Callithrix jacchus: one gene and its partners. The protein of the gene in region 1 purifies or fractionates together with the protein of each later gene. This does not show direct contact. Links are inferred from orthologs where the notes say so. Each region holds a gene or a part of one and is shown in the gene's direction. Other genes may lie near its edges.

What was found.
Region 2: the proteins of VBP1 (region 1) and PFDN1 purify together in Homo sapiens (affinity purification with mass spectrometry; 4 studies listed by BioGRID and IntAct, counting the BioPlex papers as one, with this or other methods). This does not show direct contact. The link is inferred for Callithrix jacchus from reciprocal best matches to the Homo sapiens genes VBP1 and PFDN1.
Region 3: the proteins of VBP1 (region 1) and PFDN6 purify together in Homo sapiens (affinity purification with mass spectrometry; 6 studies listed by BioGRID and IntAct, counting the BioPlex papers as one, with this or other methods). This does not show direct contact. The link is inferred for Callithrix jacchus from reciprocal best matches to the Homo sapiens genes VBP1 and PFDN6.
Region 4: the proteins of VBP1 (region 1) and PFDN5 purify together in Homo sapiens (affinity purification with mass spectrometry; 7 studies listed by BioGRID and IntAct, counting the BioPlex papers as one, with this or other methods). This does not show direct contact. The link is inferred for Callithrix jacchus from reciprocal best matches to the Homo sapiens genes VBP1 and PFDN5.

What each region holds. Positions count from the first base shown.
Region 1 is NC_133524.1:150,955,473-150,961,252, forward strand, and holds the start of VBP1 (prefoldin subunit 3), read left to right. Parts: upstream 1-2,108; 5' UTR 2,109-2,131; coding exon 2,132-2,224; intron 2,225-5,780. UniProt on the Homo sapiens protein: Binds specifically to cytosolic chaperonin (c-CPN) and transfers target proteins to it. Binds to nascent polypeptide chain and promotes folding in an environment in which there are many competing pathways for nonnative proteins.
Region 2 is NC_133503.1:38,674,692-38,680,397, reverse strand, and holds the start of PFDN1 (prefoldin subunit 1), read left to right. Parts: upstream 1-2,168; 5' UTR 2,169-2,196; coding exon 2,197-2,229; intron 2,230-5,500; coding exon 5,501-5,667; intron 5,668-5,706. UniProt on the Homo sapiens protein: Binds specifically to cytosolic chaperonin (c-CPN) and transfers target proteins to it. Binds to nascent polypeptide chain and promotes folding in an environment in which there are many competing pathways for nonnative proteins.
Region 3 is NC_133505.1:41,530,554-41,535,211, forward strand, and holds PFDN6 (prefoldin subunit 6), read left to right. Parts: upstream 1-1,997; 5' UTR 1,998-2,033; exon of another isoform or gene 2,034-2,041; intron 2,042-2,181; 5' UTR 2,182-2,268; coding exon 2,269-2,332; intron 2,333-2,579; coding exon 2,580-2,650; intron 2,651-2,731; coding exon 2,732-2,856; intron 2,857-3,068; coding exon 3,069-3,198; 3' UTR 3,199-3,281; downstream 3,282-4,658. Other genes in the region: WDR46 (WD repeat-containing protein 46), read right to left, coding at 5-109, 378-439, 564-651, 771-883, 1,027-1,107, 1,205-1,414, 1,512-1,580; RGL2 (ral guanine nucleotide dissociation stimulator-like 2), read right to left, coding at 4,370-4,581. UniProt on the Homo sapiens protein: Binds specifically to cytosolic chaperonin (c-CPN) and transfers target proteins to it. Binds to nascent polypeptide chain and promotes folding in an environment in which there are many competing pathways for nonnative proteins.
Region 4 is NC_133510.1:66,255,466-66,261,172, reverse strand, and holds PFDN5 (prefoldin subunit 5), read left to right. Parts: upstream 1-1,715; 5' UTR 1,716-1,740; coding exon 1,741-1,812; intron 1,813-2,009; coding exon 2,010-2,112; intron 2,113-2,414; coding exon 2,415-2,446; intron 2,447-3,671; coding exon 3,672-3,746; intron 3,747-3,865; coding exon 3,866-3,971; intron 3,972-5,378; coding exon 5,379-5,455; 3' UTR 5,456-5,556; downstream 5,557-5,707. Other genes in the region: ubiquitin-conjugating enzyme E2 L3, read right to left, coding at 1-216. UniProt on the Homo sapiens protein: Binds specifically to cytosolic chaperonin (c-CPN) and transfers target proteins to it. Binds to nascent polypeptide chain and promotes folding in an environment in which there are many competing pathways for nonnative proteins.

The sequences.
Region 1 (5,780 bases):
TCATCTTCCCAAGCCAAATAGCATAGAAGGCACTGGAGAACTAGTTTGGAGTTCCGGCTTCATTGCCACGTAGTTGTAGGAATTTGGAGAAGCTGTACAGGTTCATTGAGCTTTAGTTTCCTCATTCACAATATGATGATACCAATTTGTTCCTCATTATATATAAAGACATATCTATGTCTATGTGTTTGATCATACATTATCTATGGAGATAAACCGGTAACAGTAATTGCCTCTGAGAAGAGAGACTTACTTTCCATTGCATAATTCTTTTTCTTTCATTGTGTATCATCTTTTTATTTCTTTTACTTTTTTTTTTTAGAAAGAAAGAAAAAAAAAGTGAAGGAGAGGAAGAAAGAGGAAGAAAAAGAGGGAGAGAGAACGGGAATATAGGTTTATTCTAAAAATGGCTATTAATAATGGCCAATCAATAGTTTGTGCATTTAAGGTGGAGAATGTATATTTTATGTATTTAAAATGGAGAGCTCTATAAATATTTATTGGGTTTACTTGTTCCAGATCTGAGTTCAAGTCCTGGATATCCTTATGAATTTTCTGTCTCGTTAAGTCTAAATCTCTTTATGAGTCTTATGTATCTGGGGGTTAGGATCGTTAGCTCTTATTGTTGCATTGATCCTTTTACCACTATATCTTTGTTGCTTTGAAATCTATTTTATCAGATGCGAGAATTGCAACTCCTGCTTTTTAATTATTTATTTTTGCCCTTCATTTGGTTGGTAGATCTTTCTCCATCCCTTTGTTTTAAGTCTTTGTGTATCTTTGGATGTGAAATGGGTCTGGATGCAGCATATCGTTAGGTTTTGCTTGTATGTTTTGATTGGGGGATTTAGTAGACTTAAATTTAGGGTTACTGCCATTTGATGTTAACCGGCTATTTTATCCATTCGTTGATGTAAATTCTTCTTTATGTTGATGCTCTTTACTTTTTGGTATATTTTTAGAAAGGCTAATACTGGTTGTTTCTTTCTATGTATAAGGCTTTCCATTGCATAATTCTTATGCTTATGGTGGAATTTGTGTGAGTGGATGAAGCACTGCTTCACTGGGAAACACTCCAGTGGAAGAAAGGACAGAAAAGGGCCTGAAGAGTAATTACTTGGTTCTATACGACAGATATGCTTTTACAGGATTGTAGCATAGGATGACATTGGGTAAGTCCATGGGCCTAGAAGCCTGGGTGGAGTTCTTAGGATTTTGTATGTGGACTATGAGGTTCTGGAAACGTTTCAGCTGGAGAGAAGACATTCTGATCAAAGGTGGCTTTCGGGAAAGGTTGGTGCGACAGGCAGGGTATTTATTAGAATGAGGCCCGTGACTCCAGTCTGAAACAGACACAAAGTAAGTTCCCTTCAATGGCCGGGCGCGGTGGCTCAAGCCTGTAATCCCAGCATTTTGGGAGGCCGAGGCAGGTGGATCACCTGAGGTCAGGAGTTCGAGATCAGCCTGGCCAATATAGTGAAAATCCATCTCTACCAAAAATACAAAAAAATAGCTGGGCGCCGTGGCGCGTGCCTGTAATCCCAGCTACTCGGGTGGCTGAGGCAGGAGAATTGCCTGAACCCAGGAGGCGGAGGTTGCGGTGAGCCGAGATCGCGCCATTGCACTCCAGCCTGGGTAACGAGAGCGAAAATACGTTTCAAAAAAAAGAGGCAGGAAGCTCCTTGGGATGGTGAGACCAGAAAGGCACAGAGGCTGAACGCTTGTGATGGCGATAGGTCTGAGGTTCGCTCGCATCCGAGAGCGAATTCGGTCGCTCCAGAGGCCATTGTCAAGGCTGCTGCGAGTTCTAGGGTCGGGGTGGGGTCAGGCTAGGTCCCCATTCCTAGGGCTTTAGCACAGCTCACTCACAAGACTCCTTTTCCCAAGAGGACGTAAGGGTTTTTCCTGCCGCTCCAGCTTGTCTTCTGCGGCCCTTCCACGCTTGTCACTTACCTGAGCGCAGCCAATCAGCACCTATTTCGACCAAAGGAGAACCGGAACTTGGTGGGGGGACCTTTCCTGCGCACCAATGAATGTGTACGGAGAGGCGGGCCTGTAGGTGCGAACGAGCCAATCACGAAATCCTGGTGGGCGGTGGCTCGGAAGGCAGTCGAGCACTCGCATCCCCAAGATGGCGGCCGCGAAAGACGGTAGCGGCAAAGGAGAAATGGCAACAGGGAATGGGCGGCGGCTCCACCTGGGGATTCCCGAGGCCGTGTTTGTGGTAAGAAGCACGCTGTTCCCTGGCATCTTGGTTCGAGACTGCGGACTGCCCCTTTGTTTCCGGCTCACACCTAGGCCTCTACTGTTGGAAGGAGCTGAGCTAAAGGTTCAGGGACCGGGTGCTCGGCCCGCTCTCACTCTTCTTTGCACATGGAAAGATTGAGCTCTGCTGCGGCCCGCCCGGAAGACACGTAGCTCGAGAAGGTCCTAGAAGAGAACGGGGTGCGGGGCCTGGGCGAGGGTGAGGGGCGGCGGGGCGGCCTTAGGGACCTGCCGGCTGCGGCTGGTTTTCGAGCCCCCCTGCTGCTTGGAAAAGGGGAAATGGTGAGGAGCTCTCGACTCCGCCTAGTTGCTGGAGAGACAGTACAATGAATAGGCAGAACAGCTAGTGCCAAGATGTGAAAACAGGGAGGGCCGGGCGCGGTGGCTCACGCCTGTAATCCCATTACTTTGGGAGGCCGAGGCGGGTGGATCACAAGGTCAAGAGATCGAGACCATCCTGGTCAACGAGGTGAAACCCCGTGTCTACTGGAAATACAAAAAATTAGCTGGGCACGGTGGCGCGCGCCTTTAATCCCAGCTACTCGGGAGGCTGAGGCAGGAGAATTGCCTGAACCCAGGAGGCGGAGGTTGCGGTGAGCCGAGATGATTGCGCCATTGCACTCCAGCCTGGGTAACGAGAACAAAACTCCGTCTCAAAAAAAAAAAAAAAAAAAAAAAAGAAAAAGGGAATATCACCGTGTCTGTTGAAGGAATGCCGTGGTCTGTTGCCTTGGGGGAAGTAGAAGAAGTAGGATGATGGGGTGAGAGTGTAAACCCCTTCTATGGCTTCGTAAGGAATGAGGTTTTTTTTTTGTTTTTTTTTTTGAGACGGAATTTCGCTCTCGTCACCCAGGCTGGAGTGCAATGGCGCGATCTCGGCTCACCGCAACCTCCGCCTCCTGGGTTCAGGCAATTCTCCTGCCTCAGCCTCCGGAGTAGCTGGGATTACAGGCGCGTGCCACCGTGCCCAGCTCATTTTTTGTATTTTTAGTAGAGACGGGGTTTCACCTCATTGACCAGGATGGTCTCGATCTCTTGACCTTGTGGTCCACCCGCCTCGGCCTCCCAAAGTGCTGGCAATGCACTGCCATTGCCTACTGTAAAAGGCCTTTGGTTTCAGGTGCATCATTCTAACAACTTAGTGGAGAATGAATTGTTGAGAGAAGAGGCCGAACCCTCGTGTTGGCGCTGGGTCCCAGATTCACTGGCATCCGAGAGGGGATCGGGTCGCTCCAGAGGTTGTTCTGGAGGGCGCTCCCTGTTCTGAGTGCCTTTTTAAAAATTTTATTTTATTTAGAAATAGTATTTGAAGACTATTTGAGTAATGAGAGAAAATGTCTGACTGGCCCTCCAGGCCAGCTCATCTGTCTGTCCCCATTTAGTTTCTGAAAGTTTCTGAACCTTTTGATTTATACCTTTCCTTACCTCTGCCTTTTTACTGATCATGTCTTATGTCCTTCAAAACTCTAATTTATTTACACCACACTTGATATTGTCTATTTGCATTTGCTGATTACATTTTGTAATTGTTTATTATTTTGTGTTTTCATGAGCTGTGCCATTTATTTCTTTACATTAATCTATTATCTAATCATAACAAGGAATAAAATTTGTTGAGTGCTGGGCACTTTCTTAATGATTTTACTAAACTCTAGGTATTAGCTACTGTTAGGTCTGTTTTTAGATGTTAAAACCGAGGTACACGGCCCTTGAGTAACTTGCCCCAGGCCACACAGGATGTAAATGAGGTATCCAGGATTTGAACTTCGGCAATCTGTGGGGGTCCACACCGCCAGCTTACCCCTCATGCTCTGCTGCTGTGAGGAGGTGAGGTAGTTCTCATGCATTATGTCATTTCTCCTGGCCCTAGAATAGTGCCTGACACATAGTATAAACTCCTATGTGTCTAATTGAATTTCCGTACTGACTTAAATGTTACATTCGTAGTGCTAAGCTAGAGAAATCTGTCTCCACAGTATACACTTTATCTGAGGGCTTTATAACATCTTAAAATGCTTTTTCCCTACAATGTCATGGCTATTTTTTTGTAGACCTTAAAATTTCTATTGACATAATGTAATAAGCAACCCAATTTTATATAATTGTTTTTGTTCCCAAACTGTTAATAATTGAAGTGACATGGTATTGTTGAAAGATCATTGGCTTCTAAATCGACCAGGATTTGAATCCTGGCTCTGCGTCCCAGTTGCTGCTTAGCCTTAAGCATATTATTTTACCACTTTGAGCCTGAGTTTCTTTAACCTAAATAGGGATGACAATACTTAGACAGTTGTTATGGGAAACAGAGAACAACATGCTTGAGTATTGCAGTGTAGTAGATGTTGAATAGGTATGATTGCCCATGATGCTAGGAGTCAATATACCATAGTTGTTAGAAGTCAGACCTGGTTCTTTCCCCAACCCCCCTGAGGCAGTAATTTGTTTTCTTTCTCTGCTTGAATTGTTCTTTCACCGTTGTCCGTTTCATGACCTCTTCATCTTTCCACTTGTAGTTCAGATATCAACTCCCTGTAGTTTTTTCTGACCTCTACCCCAAAACGAAATCCCTAGCACTTTGTGTCCCAATGGCACTTTATGCTATAGATAGGTGTCACATACTCTTAGAAGCATCTCCTATATGCTCACTCATTTAATCCCGGGTGATGAAAAGTACTTGTACAGATGATGAGGAAATTGAGGCAAAGAGAGGTTAACTAACTTTCCTAAGGTCAACTCATCTAGTAAGTGGTAAACCTAGGATTCAAACCAGGCACCCCATCTCTTAGCCTATGCTGCTGTAGTTAATTCATGCTAAACTTCAGCACCTAATAATATGTATCATGTGCTAAAACTCAGGCTTCTTTCTCTTCCCTGCAGTGACCCTTCTAGGAAGGTGACATCTCTCTTTTACATACAGAACTCAGCCATTAACTCTCAGCCTTACCTTTGCAATTTCATTTACTGTCTCTAGTTTGATGGCTTCATAGTTCACTCCCTTGCTGTGTTTCTCTTCCTTTTTCTTCATTGTTTCAGCTAAGATATTCTCTGGTAGCTAATAAATATGGATACGAATAATGATGTGGGCTGGGCACGGTGGCTCATGCCTGTAATCCCAGCATTTTGGAGGCCGAGGTGGGCGGATCACAAGGTCAGGAGTTCGAGACCAGCCTGGCCAACATCGTGAAACCCTGTCTCTACTAAAAATACAAAAAAATAGCTGGGCATGGTGGTGTGAACCTGTAATTCCAGCTACTCGGGAGGCTGAGGCAGGAGAATCGCATGAACCCAGGAAACGGAGGTTGCAGTGAGCCGAGATTGTGCCATTGCACTCCAGGCCTGAGCAACAGTGTAAGACTCTGTCTTAAAAAAAAAAAAAAGAAGAATGATATAAAGATCTTAGAAGCCATAATTAAAGTTACTTATGATAAAGAACTAAAGTTCCGTAAAGTACTAAACGGCTTTTGTAGCATCTAAGTTTCCATATATTTTCATCTGGTTTCTGATCCTTATCTAAT
Region 2 (5,706 bases), on another chromosome or scaffold:
CTCATTTATTCCTCACAATAACCCTGTTAGGTTAATATTGTCATTCTCAAATTAAACATGAGAAGATTGAAGGTCATCAAAAATGAGGGGTGGATGCTGGGTATGGTGGCTCCCACCTGTAATCCCAGCACTTTGGGAGGCCAAGGCAGGTGGATCACTTGAGGCCGGGAGTTGGAGACCACCTGGGCAACATGGTGAAACCCATCTCTACTAAAACTACAAAAATTAGCCAGGCGTAATGGCAGGTGCCTATAAATCCCAGCTACTTGGGAGGCTGAGGCAGGAGAATCACTTGAACTGGGGAGGCCGAGATTGCAGCAAGCAGAGATAGTGCCACTGCACTCCATCCTGGGCGACAGAGGGAGACTGTATGCCAAAAATAAATTGTCTGGGCGCTGTGGCTCAAGCCTGCTATCACAGCACTTTGGGCGGCCAAGGCTAGCGGATTGTTTGAGCTCAGGAGTTTGAGACCAGCTTGGGCAACAGGGTGAAAACCTATCTCTACAAAAAATACAAAAATCAGCTGGGTGTGGGTGGTGCACACCTGCAGTCCCAGCTACTTGTGAGGCTGAGGTGAGAGGATCACTTGAGCATGGGAGGTAGAGGCTGCAGTGAGCTGTGATCGCACCATTAGATTCTAGCCTGGGTGGCAGAGTGAGATCCTATCTCAAAAAAAAAAAAAAAAAAAAAAAAAGAAAAAGAAAGAAGAAAGAAAGAAGGGAGGGAGAAAAGAAAAGAAAACATATACCTACAGAAAAACCAAAAAAACAAAAAATCCAAGTGACTTGCTCAAAGTCACATAATTAGGAACCAGACATAGATTAAAGGTAGAGCAACTCTTGAATTTAGATCTGGCTGGTTCCAAATTCTCTGTGCTTCTATCTCCCTAACAGCTTTCCTTCTTTCTTCTCTCTCTCTCTCTTTCTTTCTTTCTTTCTTTCTTTCTTTCTTTCTTTCTTTCTTTCTTTCCTTTCTCTTTCTTTCTTTCTTCCTTCCCTCTCTCCCTCCCTCCCTTCCTTCCTTCCTTCCCTTTTTTTTTAATTAAATAAAATAAATTTCCAACTGGGTGTGGTGGCTCACGCCTGTAATTCTAGCACTTTGGGAGGCCGAGGTGGGAGGATTACGAGGTCAGGAATTTGAGACCAGCCTGACCAACATGATGAAACCTGGCCTCTACTAAAATTACAAGAATTAGCTGGGCGTGGTGGAGCGCACCTGTAATCCCAGCTTCTCGGGAGGCTGAAGTAGGAGAGTTACTTGAACCGGGCAGGCGGAGGTTGCAGTGAGCCATCATCGCACCACTGCACTTCAGCCTGGGCGACAGATTGAGATTCCATCTAAAAATAAAATAAAATAAATAAATGAAAATAAATGTCCTAAATATTCATGTAGCACTTTCTCTTAGCATAACAGTTTTTAGAGCAGGTAAACATATTTTTTTTTCTCCATTTCCAAAAGTCAATTATTATCTATCCTTCTGGTTCAAATGCCAGGTCCTTTTATGACAGACATTCTCAAAAACGTGATGCACAGAGGAGTTACACCATTAGGTCACTGGATGAGTTTGCAGAAGTGCAAATTTCTAGACCCCATTCTCAAAGATTCTAAGCACGTTTGAGATGAGACCCAAAGAAGCTGTTTGTTTTTTTAAAAAAACAAAAACAAAAACAAACCCAAACGTATTCAGCCTCTCTTGAGAATCACCGTGTCTAGAAGGTCTTCGGGAGGCTTTTGGAAGAAATAAGTTCGTCTTGGGAAGAACACTGTAGATAAGCTTTCCACTAGTCTTTCCCAAACTGTTATGCCTGAGGTTCAGGACTTACTCATTCCTGACAGCACAGTGAATAGCTGAAGGACGGATCGGCTGGCTGATGAGGGTTTTACATCTACAAACATTTCAATTTAGCAGCACACACTAAGCTAGCTGGCAAATTGCTTAAAGCCACCTAAGAAATCTGCGCGTTGGGCTATGTCTGGAAGATGTGGAGGAGAAAGTCAGTCCTGACCGGTCAGATAGGGAAGACACTGAATCCGAAACCCAAATATCTCAGGGGTCAATTCACAGAGAATGGGAAGAAGCTGGGTTAGTTCAACTCATGCGCAGGCGCAGAAGACGGACGCTCAAACTAAGGCGCGCCCTTCCCCCACTCTCTTTCGGGCCAACTCCCACTGCGCAGGCGCCTAGAGTGCACCAAGATGGCCGCCCCCGTGGATCTTGAGTTGAAGAAGGTAAAAGAGGGTCTTGGGCAAGCGGAAACCTTCTCTTAGGAGGTTGAGGGGACTGTAGGTAGGAATTTCGAGTGAGGCCCAAGCCTTGCAGAAGGAAGGAGGGTTCAGTGGATTAGGGAATGGTTTCCCAGAGTCCTAAGCCCCAATGGGTCTCCTTAAACTGGGGTGGGGGCGAGCGGCTCTTGCTGGGTAGAAGCCGGTTGGTTTGGGTGGGATAAGTCTGTGAGCCTATTTCGGGCCTGCCCAGTCTTTCTGAGCTCCAGAGACATGTCGTTGAGTTTGGAGCCTTCAGGGACTCACTTTCATAGTAGCAACTATAGAGAGCATTTCAAATGGGGGTCCCTTCGGACCCCTTGCCTGAGCTGTGGCATCCATAACTGCCTTATTTGCTTTGAAAAACTCCAAGTCCAACCTTTGTTTTTAGGCCATGTATTCGGTTCTATACTTTGAAAGCTTGCAGTCTGAACAGTTTGAAAAATCAGGGATTCTAGCAGCAATGCTCATTTCAGGATTTTGACCCCCTCCTCCTTCTTTTGAAGGACTTGTCAAAAAAAAAAGTAAAGTGTTCCAAATAAAACTGGTATCAGAAGGAATTAGGTTTCCCGCTTTCCTCAAACAGTTGCTTATAAATGTGTTTTTGCTTAGATTTTTGCTAAGAATGATCAGTATTCTAACACTGCTGATGACCCCAAACCAGTATGCTGTGTACAGTGGGGTGGATTGGAAAGGACCCTAGGATTTATCTATTTTAAATCTACTTTTCTAGAAAAGTATGTCAGAGGTTGGGACTAGAATCCGGTATTTTGTCTTACCTCCTACTTTTTTGACCATTATTTTGGGTTCTTCAGATGAGCAACATCTTAGTTAAGACTGCCTCTGATCAACCTGTGCAAAAGAAATAGGACAGCCGAAATAACTGTTGCTCCTAACAGATGAAGCTTTTACTACTGTTCTGAGGATATTATGTGTTTGTGTCTTGCTTTTTGTTATTCCTGCCTTCAGTCTTGTAAATCTAGCCCTTAGGTGTTCCCTAATCTTTAGCATTTACTAGCTTCTTTAGCAATCTGTACAGAGCAATCAGACAATACCGGAATTTTACATTCAAAACAAAATTGTGCATTCTAAAAATTTACCTTTTTTTCTATTAAAAATACAGATTTAAATCAGGGTTTAGTGAATGGACTTGCCTCCTGGTACTTTTGAATTTGTTGCTGCATTTGAAACATGTGGACAGTGAATGCAAACTAAGGAAATGATTACAGTCCTAAACTGAATAATTTTGACAACCAATTAAAAACTTGTTTAAATATTTTATCTTCTTTTTTTTTTTTTTTGAAACAGAGTTTTGCTCTTGTTGCCCAGGCTGGAGTGCAATGGTATGATCTCAGGTCACTGCAACCTCCACCTTCTGGGTTCAAGAGGTGCTTCTGCCTCAGCCTCCCGAGTTGCTGGGATTACAGGCATGCACCATCACACCTAGCTAATTTTATATTTTTAGTAGAGATGGGATTTTTCCATGATGGTCAGGCTGGTCTTGAACTCCCGACCTCAGGTGATCTGCCCACCTTGGCCTCCTAGAGTGCTGAGATTACAGATGTGAGCCACTGTGCCCAGCCTAAAGGTTTTATCTTCTAATGTTGTTACAGGGTCCTTTTCTTGGGTGGAGACAAATAGGAAATTTCAGGCCCCTTCTGTCCCCCAAAATAAATCTTTCTAAACCTTACTAGTAGGTGAAAACAGGGTCAGAATAAAAATTATGTAGTAGCTTTTGCTGTGCATTGCAGTCACAACTGTTATTATTAAGGTACAAATTTGACAGCATGTGAAAGTCATTCCGGGCACTTCAACAAGAATATCCAAGAACTGTTTATCTCCAGTACATAAGGGTCAGAGTTGGCCTGATATGTGTGGATGAAGATCATGATGCAATTCTTTTGTCAGTGCTTTGCATTTTTTCTCACTCTCTTTTTGATCTTCCTCTTAAAAATATTTATATTTTGAATATTACTATAGACAGTAGAATGGAAAGGTTCCTGAACTAAGAGGTTAGAAGGAATGGATTTAAATACCTGCCTTTTCCCCAAAAGTGGCTTGTGCAAGCCACTTTTATCTCTTAGCTCATTTAGTTATGTAATTTTTTTTTTTTATTATTCAAGGAGTCTTGCTCGTCACCCGGGCTAGAGGGCAGTGGCACGATCTCAGCTCACTGCAACCTCCGCCTCCTGGGTTCAGGTGATTCTCCTGCCTCAGCCTCCCGTATAGCTGCGACTGCAGGTGCCCGTCACCGTGCCCGTCACCATGCCCAGCTAATATTTGTATTTTTAGTAGAGACGGGGTTTCACCATACTGGCCAGACAGGTCTTAAACTCCTGACATTGTGATCTGCCCACCTCAGCCTCCCAAAGTGTTGGGATTACAGGCGTGAGCCACCACACCCAGCCTAATTACTTAATTTGTAAATTGTGGATGATGAAACTGCCAACGCTAACTCACGGGATTATTGAGAAGCATAAATGAGATTTATCATTATATTTCCTCATTAATATTCTTATATTCATATTCCCATGTAATATTTCAAACTAATGTGAGAAAGTGCTTTGAACCTAATTGTGCAATACAAATGTGAGTTGTTACTTTTATGGTTCTTGTTTTAAATTTCTGGATTTCATCCTTGACTGTTGCATTTATTTCTTTTATTAATCCTTGAGTACTTGACCTTTGTTTTTTTTTGAGATGGAATCTTGCTCTGTTACCCCGGCTGGAGTGCAGTGGCGCAGTCTCGGCTCACTGCAGTCTCTGCCTCCTGGGTTCAAACGATTTCCTCTGCCTCAGCCTCCCGAGTAGCTGGGACTATAGGTGCGCACCATCATGCCCAGCTAATTTTTTGTATTTTAGTAGAGACGGGTTTTCACCATGTTGGCCAGGATGGTCTTGATCTTCTGAACTTGTGATCTGCCTGCCTCAGCCTCCTAAAGTGCTGGATTACAGGTGTGAGTTACTACACCTGACCAAGTACTTGCCACTTAATATGGTTATTGTTTAACGTGCATTGTTTTGCATCACGCTGATGTATCTTCTGATGATTGTAAATTGAGTATCTAGTATAGTGTCTTGATTATTTACAATTATGTTGACTTTTATTGATGTTTGCTTTGGTAAATTCCACAGCTTTGTCTCTGGCTAGCATGTTTTGTTCTAATATATTTGGATTTGACATAAATGTTTTCTGTAAAATGTTTTACCTATTAAGACATGGACTTGTTTTTATTAGGCCTTCACAGAGCTTCAAGCCAAAGTTATCGACACTCAACAGAAGGTGAAGCTGGCAGACATACAGATTGAACAGCTAAACAGAACGAAAAAGCATGCACATCTTACAGATACAGAGATCATGACTTTGGTAGATGAGACTAACATGTATGAAGGTGTAGGAAGAATGTAAGTAAAGTATGTCCTTAATAGAGTTATTTTGGGAGT
Region 3 (4,658 bases), on another chromosome or scaffold:
TGACCGGATGTCCCGCACTGCCTCCATGACGTTGATCTCGCACATAAGCTTCTTTGTTACCCAATCAAGGGCAGCCACATGACCCCGACGCCCTCCAAAAGCCAGGTGTCTGTTGGAGGTGAGGGGCAGGCAGGGTGTTAAGGCAGTGGAGCACCAACTGAGACAACTTGAGGGGTCTGCCCCATGCCAGCCCTGCCTCTCCCTCTCCAGGTGGGCAAATAGATGTTGCTGTAGGGGCTCACCCTCACAAGCAAGCAAATCGCAGGACTCTCGCCTCATCAACAACCCAAACATACAGTGGGAATGGCTGAAATGGGCATGGCTGAAGTGGTTAAGGAAACACATTTTAGTTCAGGAGTCACTAGATTCAATGTTACCTCCCAGTCCGAGAGTAGTTTAGTCTGTAGGGTCCAAACTGCCGCAGATTCAAGTCAAAGTGCTGGGAAAGAGTGAAGAAAAAAAAGAAAGAATGAGTTCTCTGCAGTAACGCTTCTTCTAGCCCCCATTCTTCTCTTGTCCTGCACCACCCATCAACCCTTTGGCTCCTTTAACTCCTCGCTCACCTTGGCTGCACTTGCAATGTCCACAGCCTCCACAATGTCAGCCTGGCATATTTTTGCTGTGTCTTCCCCATCCTCCCCTTCCAGAAACCTGAAAGCAAGGGTTAGGATGGCAGTAAAGTTTCCCAATATGAAACAAGTGTACCAACATAAAAACGAGAGAGTCCTATAAAGCAGGGAATGGGGTGGCCCAGATTAGGGCCCACTCACCCAGGTTCCTCAGCAAGCAGCAGCTCAGAACGAGCAGCTTTGATACTTGTTTCCTCTTCCTCAGCTTCCGCCACCTCAAGTCGGCTTCGAGCTTTGGCTTTAGACTGTGGTAGCTTTAACATTGTTGGTAGACAGGAGTGGTAGAAGAACCACAGAGTAAGTGGGGTCACAGGAGGGCTACCTGGCTCAGCCTCCATCCAACTCACTCAGACACTCCCGGCCTCCAACACTTCCCAACTCTCCAGCTGGACCTCACCTTTCGGGATTTGTCAATGCGACAGAACTTCTGGACCACCTCCACAGGGACGGGGGCGGGGCCTGGGAATGGGTCCTGGGCCTAGGGGAAGGAAGGACGCAATTAGCAGGCAGCCTTAAATTGACCCCAACCCCTTCACTCTCGACCTGCCTCGCCACCCATTAGGTCCCACGCTCACCCCGGACAAGCTCCGCTGGGACTCCGAATTCTTCCATTCTCGGGGTTTCTTCTGGACCTGAGGCTTCTTAGAGATCCGAGACTTCTTTAAGATGTGAGTACTTTTTGCTCCCTGGGGACGGAGCTCCCGATTCTTCTTGTTAGGAGGAGGCCCTGGAGAGGCTCCGGCTGCGGTCGGAACAGTCTCTTCCTCCCAGTATCGCCGAGGTTTCTACGGGCAGATCAGTAGCCCTAATAACTCCGCACCTACGCCACGCCCCCCGACTCCGCAACTAAAAACTTATTTTCCCACCCAGAGAGGCCTCTACCTTTTTCTTGGTCTGCAGTTTGTCCTTCTTGGGCGGGACATCCCTGCCCGGCTTGGGGGCCGTCTCCATCTCGCCCACCCGTACGGCGATCCACGTGCAAAACTCCTCTCAGCTGCCCTACAGTCGCCTTGAAAACTTCCGGAAGCCCTCTGTCCGTCATCCAATCAGCAGCGTACCAAATCTGAAGCTCTCTTAACGCCATCTTGAGTGAGGGCACGCTCTCTTTAGAGAGGCGGAACAGCTCTTGGCACCTTATCGCGAGCGACAGCTTATACAAGAGAGACTTTAAAAAAAAAAGGGCAGGTCCAGGACCAGGGACTAAGTAGCGGTGCGATTTCTTTTTCTGGATTAGTTTCCCCGTCTTGCCTAAAAATGTCCGAGTCTAGTCTTTTTAGCAGAACGCCACTCACTAAACATGTCAGAACTACACTTCCCATCAAGGATCAGAAAGAAACTTCCCGACACAGTCTTTTCCCAGCATTCTTTGTTTACTTCCGGGTTTATTACTACTAAAGGGAGAACGTGAGTAGGTTAGGATTTCGGTTGAGGGGTTCGGGGTTTCGCGTTTCGCCCATCATCTCCTGGGAACAGGGTGGAGTCGATATCCGGGACGTGGGGAGTTTGCGGTCCCCCTCAGGGCTGCCTCTTAAGAGTGCCATCATTTCCGCAGGCCAGATCAGAAAGGGGAACTCAGGTACCTTCCAGAGAGTAAGATCCAGCGCCCTTCTCTCGCTCCCCTTAAGCTTTCATCCCCGCCATGGCGGAGCTGATTCAAAAGAAGCTGCAAGGAGAAGTGGAGAAATATCAACAGCTACAGAAGGGTAAGGGAGCAGGGTCAGTGTGGCCTCGCCCGATGCACTCACAACCCAAAACCATACTAGGATAAGGTCTGTTGCCCCATCTGGGCCGTCGCGTGCGGAGACTTTCCCGCGTCAGTACTCGTCCCTATTCACTGACCCGCTGCCCCCATCCTTGTTTACTTCCTCAGATCCATTTCCTCCTGACTAGGATTGTGGGGATTGGTGGCACATTTGATGTTTCTAATCTTGCCTTTCCTCTCATCCCCAGACTTGAGTAAATCCATGTCGGGGAGGCAGAAACTTGAAGCACAACTAACAGAAAATAACATCGTGAAAGAGGTGAGGGACTGGGATTTGTGCGGCGAGGAGGGGCCTGTACTGGCCATGGTTCTGATTACATATGTCCCATCCCTCCATCAGGAACTGGCCCTGTTGGATGGGTCCAACGTGGTCTTTAAACTTCTGGGTCCGGTGCTGGTCAAACAGGAGCTGGGAGAGGCTCGGGCCACAGTGGGGAAGAGGCTGGACTATATCACAGCTGAAATGTGAGTCTAACTGAACCATTGGAGTAGAGGAGTTGAGGAACCATTGCAGAACAGCTCTCCATAGTCGCCCCTAGTCCAGTTCCTCCAGACCCCTTCCAACACCCCTTCTGCACCCTTCCCTAGATCTCAAGAAAGAGAAGTCTCTTTCTTGAGTTTAGCACCCTCCATAGTAAGTCCCACTAATTTCTCCTTTTCTGCTTGTCTTTCCTCAGTAAGCGATACGAATCCCAGCTCCGGGATCTTGAGCGGCAGTCAGAGCAACAGAGAGAGACCCTTGCTCAGCTGCAGCAGGAGTTCCAGCGGGCCCAGGCAGCAAAGGCAGGGGCTCCTGGCAAGGCCTGACCCCATGGTGGGGGAAGGGGAGGGGCGGGAATGAGGCAGCTCTGGGATCTATACTGTAGCTAATAAAATGCAAAAACACCTGCCTCTGTTTCCTGATCAGGCATATCTCCACAGCCCCTTCCACCTTAACACACACCACCTATATTACTCCCTCAGGTCCAAACTCTTGCACTTGAAATCTCTCTGTGGCACAGTGTTTTCTTTCTTGAAAGTGAAATCCCAAATGTCCTCAAACCTTCTTTTAACTCTCCCTCATCTTGGTTGGCATGATTCTTTTAGAAGGGCATTTACATTTGTGAATGTGAGGAATGTCAGTTTAATTGAAGAATACAGTTCTCTAACATGAGGCCCCAAGGTGAAATGTGATTACCCTCCTTGCCAGCAGTCCTGACATCTCTATTAGTACTTTTCAGCCTGTCTTCCTAGAATTTGCTTGAATATAGCTTAAACTGACTTAAAAGCCTAGCATGTAATGCTTTATGGTGTTATAAGTCCTCCTAAGTTTATATGTTGTCCATAAGGTTGTTCAGCCATTTCTTTGTCCAAAAATTGTTTTATACACATTTGCAGCATTGTTTGAGGAAACTGTTCACCAAGTAACTCACTTTTTGCTCCGTTCATGGGGATAGAAAACACTGTGCCCCTTCCTGCTCAATGGCAACTACCTTCAGCCAGTTCCCACCCCACTCATAGCAGCCAGTTCAAACACACTGCAAGTACAGGGGAGTAGAATTCAGGTAGTGTTTTGGTTTATTATCTTAGTGTTGTCACAGTGATAGAAACCCGAGTGGGAAAAGGAACTCCTGCAAGGACCTACTTTTTGCCATCCCCGTCTGCCCTGGGGCTCAGAGCCTTGAGGCCTTTGCTTGGCCCTTCACATGTTAGGATATGGCCAAGAATCAGAAACTGATGCTGTTTTCCAACACTACCTGTGTGCTGCACTGGTGGAAGGTGGGAAGCTATACACAGGTATCCAAGTTGGTTAGATTACCAGTTCCCACAGGGCTGGATTTCGCAGCTGTCTGGTAAACCAGTGGCACTTCACTGCCCCAGGGTGGCTGGCCCCCTTTCTGAATTTCTGTCTCATTGTGAAATAACAGCTACCATTCAGGATGGCTACCCACATCTGGTATGAACACCATGACTTCTGTAAGCCAATGAGGCTTCCTCCTCAGAACAGTGCCCGTGCAATCTTCCTCCCTGTGGCCTTGATCCTGGGAAAGGAGCCCCCTCCTCCCTCACTTGGAGGAGTCCCTGAGGCAGATGGGCCAGTGGCGATGCCAGGTGTAGCAGTAGAGGACCTTCGCCGCTGCCGCAGGAGAAAATCGTGTGAAGCTCCATCCATGGCGTAGAATACGTTAGCCGAGGCTGGGATAGTCAGCTCTGTAGGTTCAGAGGGTAGATATCAAGCACAAACACAGTCGTTCCCCCCCACAGCTGCCCAGATGTGGAAGCAGTCC
Region 4 (5,707 bases), on another chromosome or scaffold:
TGTTTTAAATGTGATCTTCGGTGGTTTGAATGGGTACTCTGCTGGAAAGTTGATTTCGATTCTGAAGGCCCCCTTATCATACGGAGGGTTGTCAGGAACAATAAGCCCTTGCCAAGTCAATAAATTAGCTTCATCAACCTGGATGTTACGGAAGTTTTTCATTCCACATTTGCGGATTTCTTCAAGCTCCTTCATCAGCCTCCTGCTGGCCGCCATCTTGGATTTGGTGGTGCTCCTTCCCCCGAAGCTTAATGTTTAACAAGTGTTTGTGATTTGAAATAACACAAAATTTAAAATGATGATTTCTCCAACTTGAGGAAGGAAAAAAATTAGCCAGGTGTGGTGGCGCACACTGTAGTCCCAGCTACTCGGGAGGCTGAGGCAGGAGAATCGCTTGAACCCAGGAGGCAGAGGTTACAGTGAGCTGAGATTGTGTCATTGCACTCCAGCCTGGGCGACAGAATGAGACTTGTCTTAAAAAAAAAAACAGATACTGCATAACTGCCCCCTTCCTGCTGTGGTACTGTAAACTGATGGGAACAGCTCACAGGAGATCAAGTTTGAGAGCCTGGGGAAGAAAGGCAAAGACAGGACAAAGCCTACCGGGCCTGGCTGGGCCTCAGCAGACAATCTGGAGGAGAAAGGGGCATCAAAATGCTAAGTAGAGATAAGCCCAAGGAAGGGTAATCATTGACCCGTTGAGAGTGTTATGGGGCAGGTACCACCCGTCCATCCTGTCTTCCTGCCTCAGGTACCCTGGGAGTAGCACTAGTTTTAATGCCTCAGTTGCCCTGCCTGACTCCTAAGTAGATGTTAAAGGCTACTGCTGTCTGCTCATGTACAGCTGTCACACTTACCAATGTGTATACTTTAGCAGTAGATTCTGTGGATCTGTGGAGTTATAATCGTGAAGTTTTTCTCTCCAATTGTTAACCTCAAGGGAAGCAAGTATCTTACACTCTCACGTATCCCTGCCATATAGCACATGGTAGAACCTTTTTTATTTTTTCGAAGACAGTCTGGCTCTGTTGGAGTGCACAATCACGGCCCACTGCAGCCTCAAACTCTCCAGCTTAAGCGATCCTCCCACCTCAGGCTTCCAAGTAGCTGAGGCTACAGGCGTACACCACCAGCCAGGCTAATTTTTGTATTTTTAGTAGAAACGGGGTGTCGCCGTGTTTCCCAGGCTGGTCTCAAGCTCCTTGGCTCAAGCGATCCGCTCTCTTCAGCCTCCCAAAGTGGTGGGATTGCAGGCGTGAGCCACAGTGCCCGGCCAAAACATTTTGATTAATTTGTGCTGTACTTGGTTGACAATGGTGCCTCCTTGCTGTTCGCTCCATCTCCAGACTCCCTTCCACTTCATCTGCTCAAAGCACCATTTTCAAGATGCTACTTCGGACCAAAGAACTGAAGACCTGTCAGTAGCTTATACCACCCATGTGGAGTAGCATACACTACTTTATAACATCGTGGTTGTGTCGTGAGGACTTTAAGATTTTGAAGTTCCTTGTGGGCTGGAGTCCTGTTTGCCGCAACTTTACCGTGCTAGGGTTAGAATGTTTTATGAAACCAAAGCACAGCTCAGCCTCTGACCGGTTCAAGCCCCCCCTTCCCTTCCGGGACGGAGAATCATAGAGCAGCCTGGCGCAGCTAGGCCTCCTGGCGCCATAGAGACGCGCAGAGGACTGCTAGAGCGTTGCTCGCCAAGGGACTTCCTTTTCGTTAGTCCTCCTTCCCAACATGGCGCAGTCGATTAACATCACGGAGCTGAATCTGCCGCAGCTAGAAATGCTCAAAAACCAGCTGGACCAGGTGGGACGAGCCCCAGAAGCGCCTCTTTCCTGCTCTACATCCCCCCTGCCCATGCGTACTTCCTCGCTCCCCGTTCCAAGTTGGGAGCCTGCCTTTCCCAGGCGAAACCTCTATCCGATCCCAGGATCCGCCCCCTCCCTGGCCGGGCTCCCTTCTCCCCGCAGCCCTTTCATTGACTCTATTCCCGTCCTCTGTAGGAAGTGGAGTTCTTGTCCACGTCCATTGCCCAGCTCAAAGTGGTACAGACCAAGTATGTGGAAGCCAAGGACTGTCTGAACGTGCTGAACAAGAGCAACGAGGGTATGGGGTAGGCGGGTGAGGGCAACCTAAAGTGGCGAGCCAGCTTCTCTCGTCCCACTTCCTAATCCAGTTTTTCTTAACTGAAACGAGAAAATCCATTACATCTCGTATGCCGCTTCATGAACCCTTTGCATGTTGCCTACCTAAAATTGAAATGTACAGGACATACCTCTGCTCCTGTTGCCCCTGTTTCCGTTCTTTTCACACTGTCTGTGGGTGCTGTCCCCTGTTGGAACTCTCTTTAATGTCTTACGTTGGAGCCGCTAACCTTCCCCAGGTGTTTGTCTTCATTGCTTTCACAGGGAAAGAATTACTCGTCCCACTGACGAGTTCTGTATCCTTTCCACAGGAACGGCTACCTGCTGCCTTCTCCCTTTCTCCCTCACTCTCCCCCAAAAAGCGGGGAGAAGGGTCGTTTTGATTACTTCAGATTCCCCTCCCCCGCAACGTTTTTGAGAATACTCTTACTACACACTATGTAGCTCTTATATCTAACTTCACACCAACATCCAGCTAATGCCTTGTGAATACCAAGGAGTATGTCGAGTTGAGATGTAATATTTCCCTTTGCTGTTTGAGAACATTAATATGGAGATAAAGCTGGTGGTTTACATTTTGCTAATAACTTAGAAGACACAGGCAATAGACAAAATAGGAGGATATAGAAACAGGTATGTTGACTGTTAATCTTCAATTTCAGCTTAATTGTGGCTCATTCCTAAACTGTCACTAAGGAACCTGGATTGTGTCCACTTGCTGAATGTCTTACTTGAATGAGCGAGTTATGGCAATACGGCACCTTTGTAGTCTGAGAACTGACAGGCTAAAAAGAACACAGGAATAGTATAGTAGGGAATCGTTAAAAAAAAAAAAAATGGCTGGGTGCTATGGCTCACAGCTGTAATCCAAGCACTTTGGGAGGCTGAGGCGGGCAGATCACCTGAGGTCAGGAGTTCAAGATGAGCCTGACCAACATGGGAAAACCCCATCTCTACTAAAAATACAAAATTAGCCAGGCATGGTGGCACATGCCTGTAATCTCACTTAGGAGGCTGAGGTCGGAGAATCTCTTGAACCTGGGAGGTGGAGGTTGCAGTGAGCTGAGAGTGTGCCATTACACCCCAGCCTGGGCAACAAGAGCAGGACTTCACCTCAAAAATAAAAATAAAATAAAAATTCATCAAGAATTAGCTACTTCATGATTGAGGGGGTTAAGGGAAGTGAGGCTAGCTTTCCACTTGTACTCTACAACAGTAGGAAAACATATCTAGTCTTTCTGGAGGGGCTAATGGGAAGAACTGCAAGAACTGTTTAGAGGGTGAGAGATGGGATGAGGCAGGACAAGAGAGTGTTCCAGCATACATCATTTTCTCCATAAAGAACCAACTTCTGTCTTCTTTCCATTTGGAGTTATAGATATTGTTCTAAGGCCTCCAGATTATTCAGTCCTTATGCCTTGTAGCTTTTTGGAAAACGAGGGTCTTTAGAGGCCAAGCAGGCTGGGTTGCAGAATCACAGCTCATGCTGGGCTAGTTTTTCCCTTAATACTTGCTCCTCAGATGTATGTCCCTGGGAAGCTGCATGATGTGGAGCACGTGCTCATCGATGTGGGAACTGGGTACTATGTAGAGAAGGTGAGTGAGAGCATGTGGATGCCCCTCTGAACAGGGAAGGGAAATTTAGGGAAGAGCTAGAGTGCAACATGGCCAGAGGGTATCTCCTTTTAGCCCCTCGTTCACCTCTGATCTTGCAGACAGCTGAGGATGCCAAGGACTTTTTCAAGAGGAAGATAGATTTTCTAACCAAGCAGATGGAGAAAATCCAACCAGCTCTCCAGGAGAAGCACGCCATGAAACAGGGTAAGCTTTTCCTGGGGCACCTCTTGACCGTCTCTATCTCCATGGTAAAGAATGTGGATTGGAGTGTGAAGCACAGGGGTGTCCCCTTTGCTGGATTAAAACTATGTCTTAGTTGCTCTTTGGCATCTTTAGAATCTGCGTACTGCATAATCACTATTTGTAGATTTCTGGGTTGAGCGTTTGAGAAATTGAGAGGAAAGAAATATGTGTGCTTTGGTGGAGCTCCTATTTAATGAGGATAGAATGGGGGATGAGATAAACACACAGGAAGGAATCATGACCCAAACGAACTAATTACCAGCAATTACAACCCCGGCTGCACATTAGATTCACTCAGGAAGTTTAGAAAGAAAACGTGGGTTAATTCCAGATCAACTAAACCTGGAAGTCAAGGGAGGCGAAGTTATACCAAGGTCAGTTTTTTTTTTTTTTTTTAAAAGCTCCCCTCGGCCAGGCACATGGCACACACCTGTAATTTCAGTACTTTGGGAGGCCGAGGCAGTTGGATCATGAGGTCAGCAGATTGAGACTATCCTGGCCAACATGGTGAAACCCTGTCTCTACTAAAAATACAAAAATTAGCTGAGCGTGGTGGCGAATGCCTGTAATCCCACCTGCTCAGGAGGCTGAGGCAGGAGAATGGCTTGAACCAGGAAGGTGTAGATTGCAGTGAGCCGAGATCACCCCATTGCACTCCAGCCTGGCAACGAAGTGAGACTCTGTCTCCCCCCAAAAAAGCTCCCCTCTGTTAAAATCAGAATTCAGAACCAGTGTTCTAAAGGTAAAAATCTTTCCACATTATAGTCTTCTGATTATGTGTGAAAGGTAAAAATCTTTCCACATTATAGTCTTCTGATTATGTGTGACTCATTTAGTGTTTGTTTTTATATCTGCGGTTAGCATCTTTTTTTTCAAGACGGAGTCTTGTTCTCACCATAGACCCTAAATTTGTGTTAGTGACCTCACAGTGGATCACTGAGTTTTATTAATGCCGGGTGCGGTGGCCTATGCCTGTAATCCCAGTACTTTGGGAGGCCAGTGCGGGTGGATCACCTGAGGTCAGGAGTTCAAGACCAGTTTGGCCACCATGGTGAAACTTGGTCTCTACTAAAAATCAAAAATTAGCTGGGCGTGGTGGTACATGCCTGTAATCCCAGGTGTTTGGGAGGATGAGGCAGGAGAATTGCTTGAACCTGGGAGGCAGAGGTTGCAGTGAGCCAAGATCATGCCACTGCACTCCAGCCTGGGTGACAACAGTGAGATTCCATCTCAAAAAAAAAAAAAAAAAAGTTCTATTAATAAACTGCAGTTAGTTGTTCTCCTGTCCTTAAACTTGCCTGTCACTTCTTAACTCTAGATTCTCCTTTTTGCTTGTCACCAAGATCTGACTCATCTTTTTTTCTACAGCTGTCATGGAAATGATGAGCCAGAAGATTCAGCAGCTCACAGCCCTGGGGGCAGCTCAGGCTACTGCTAAGGCCTGAGAGTTTTTACAGAAATGGGGAGGGACACCCTTTGGGCATGGCTTCCTGGTGCTGGAAAGGGAAGGGTCTTGTGTTTAATGCCAATAAATGTGCCAGCTGGGTAGAATGTTGGTCTTTTCTTGGATTAAGCAAGGGATTGGTGATGAGATTGCGGGGGTGGCCGAGAGTGTGGGCCTCGCCCCAGAGCCTGATGCACAGGGGTGATGCGGTTCTCTTCTTGGAGGCTCCACCGCAGGGCCCTTTGACCAGCTG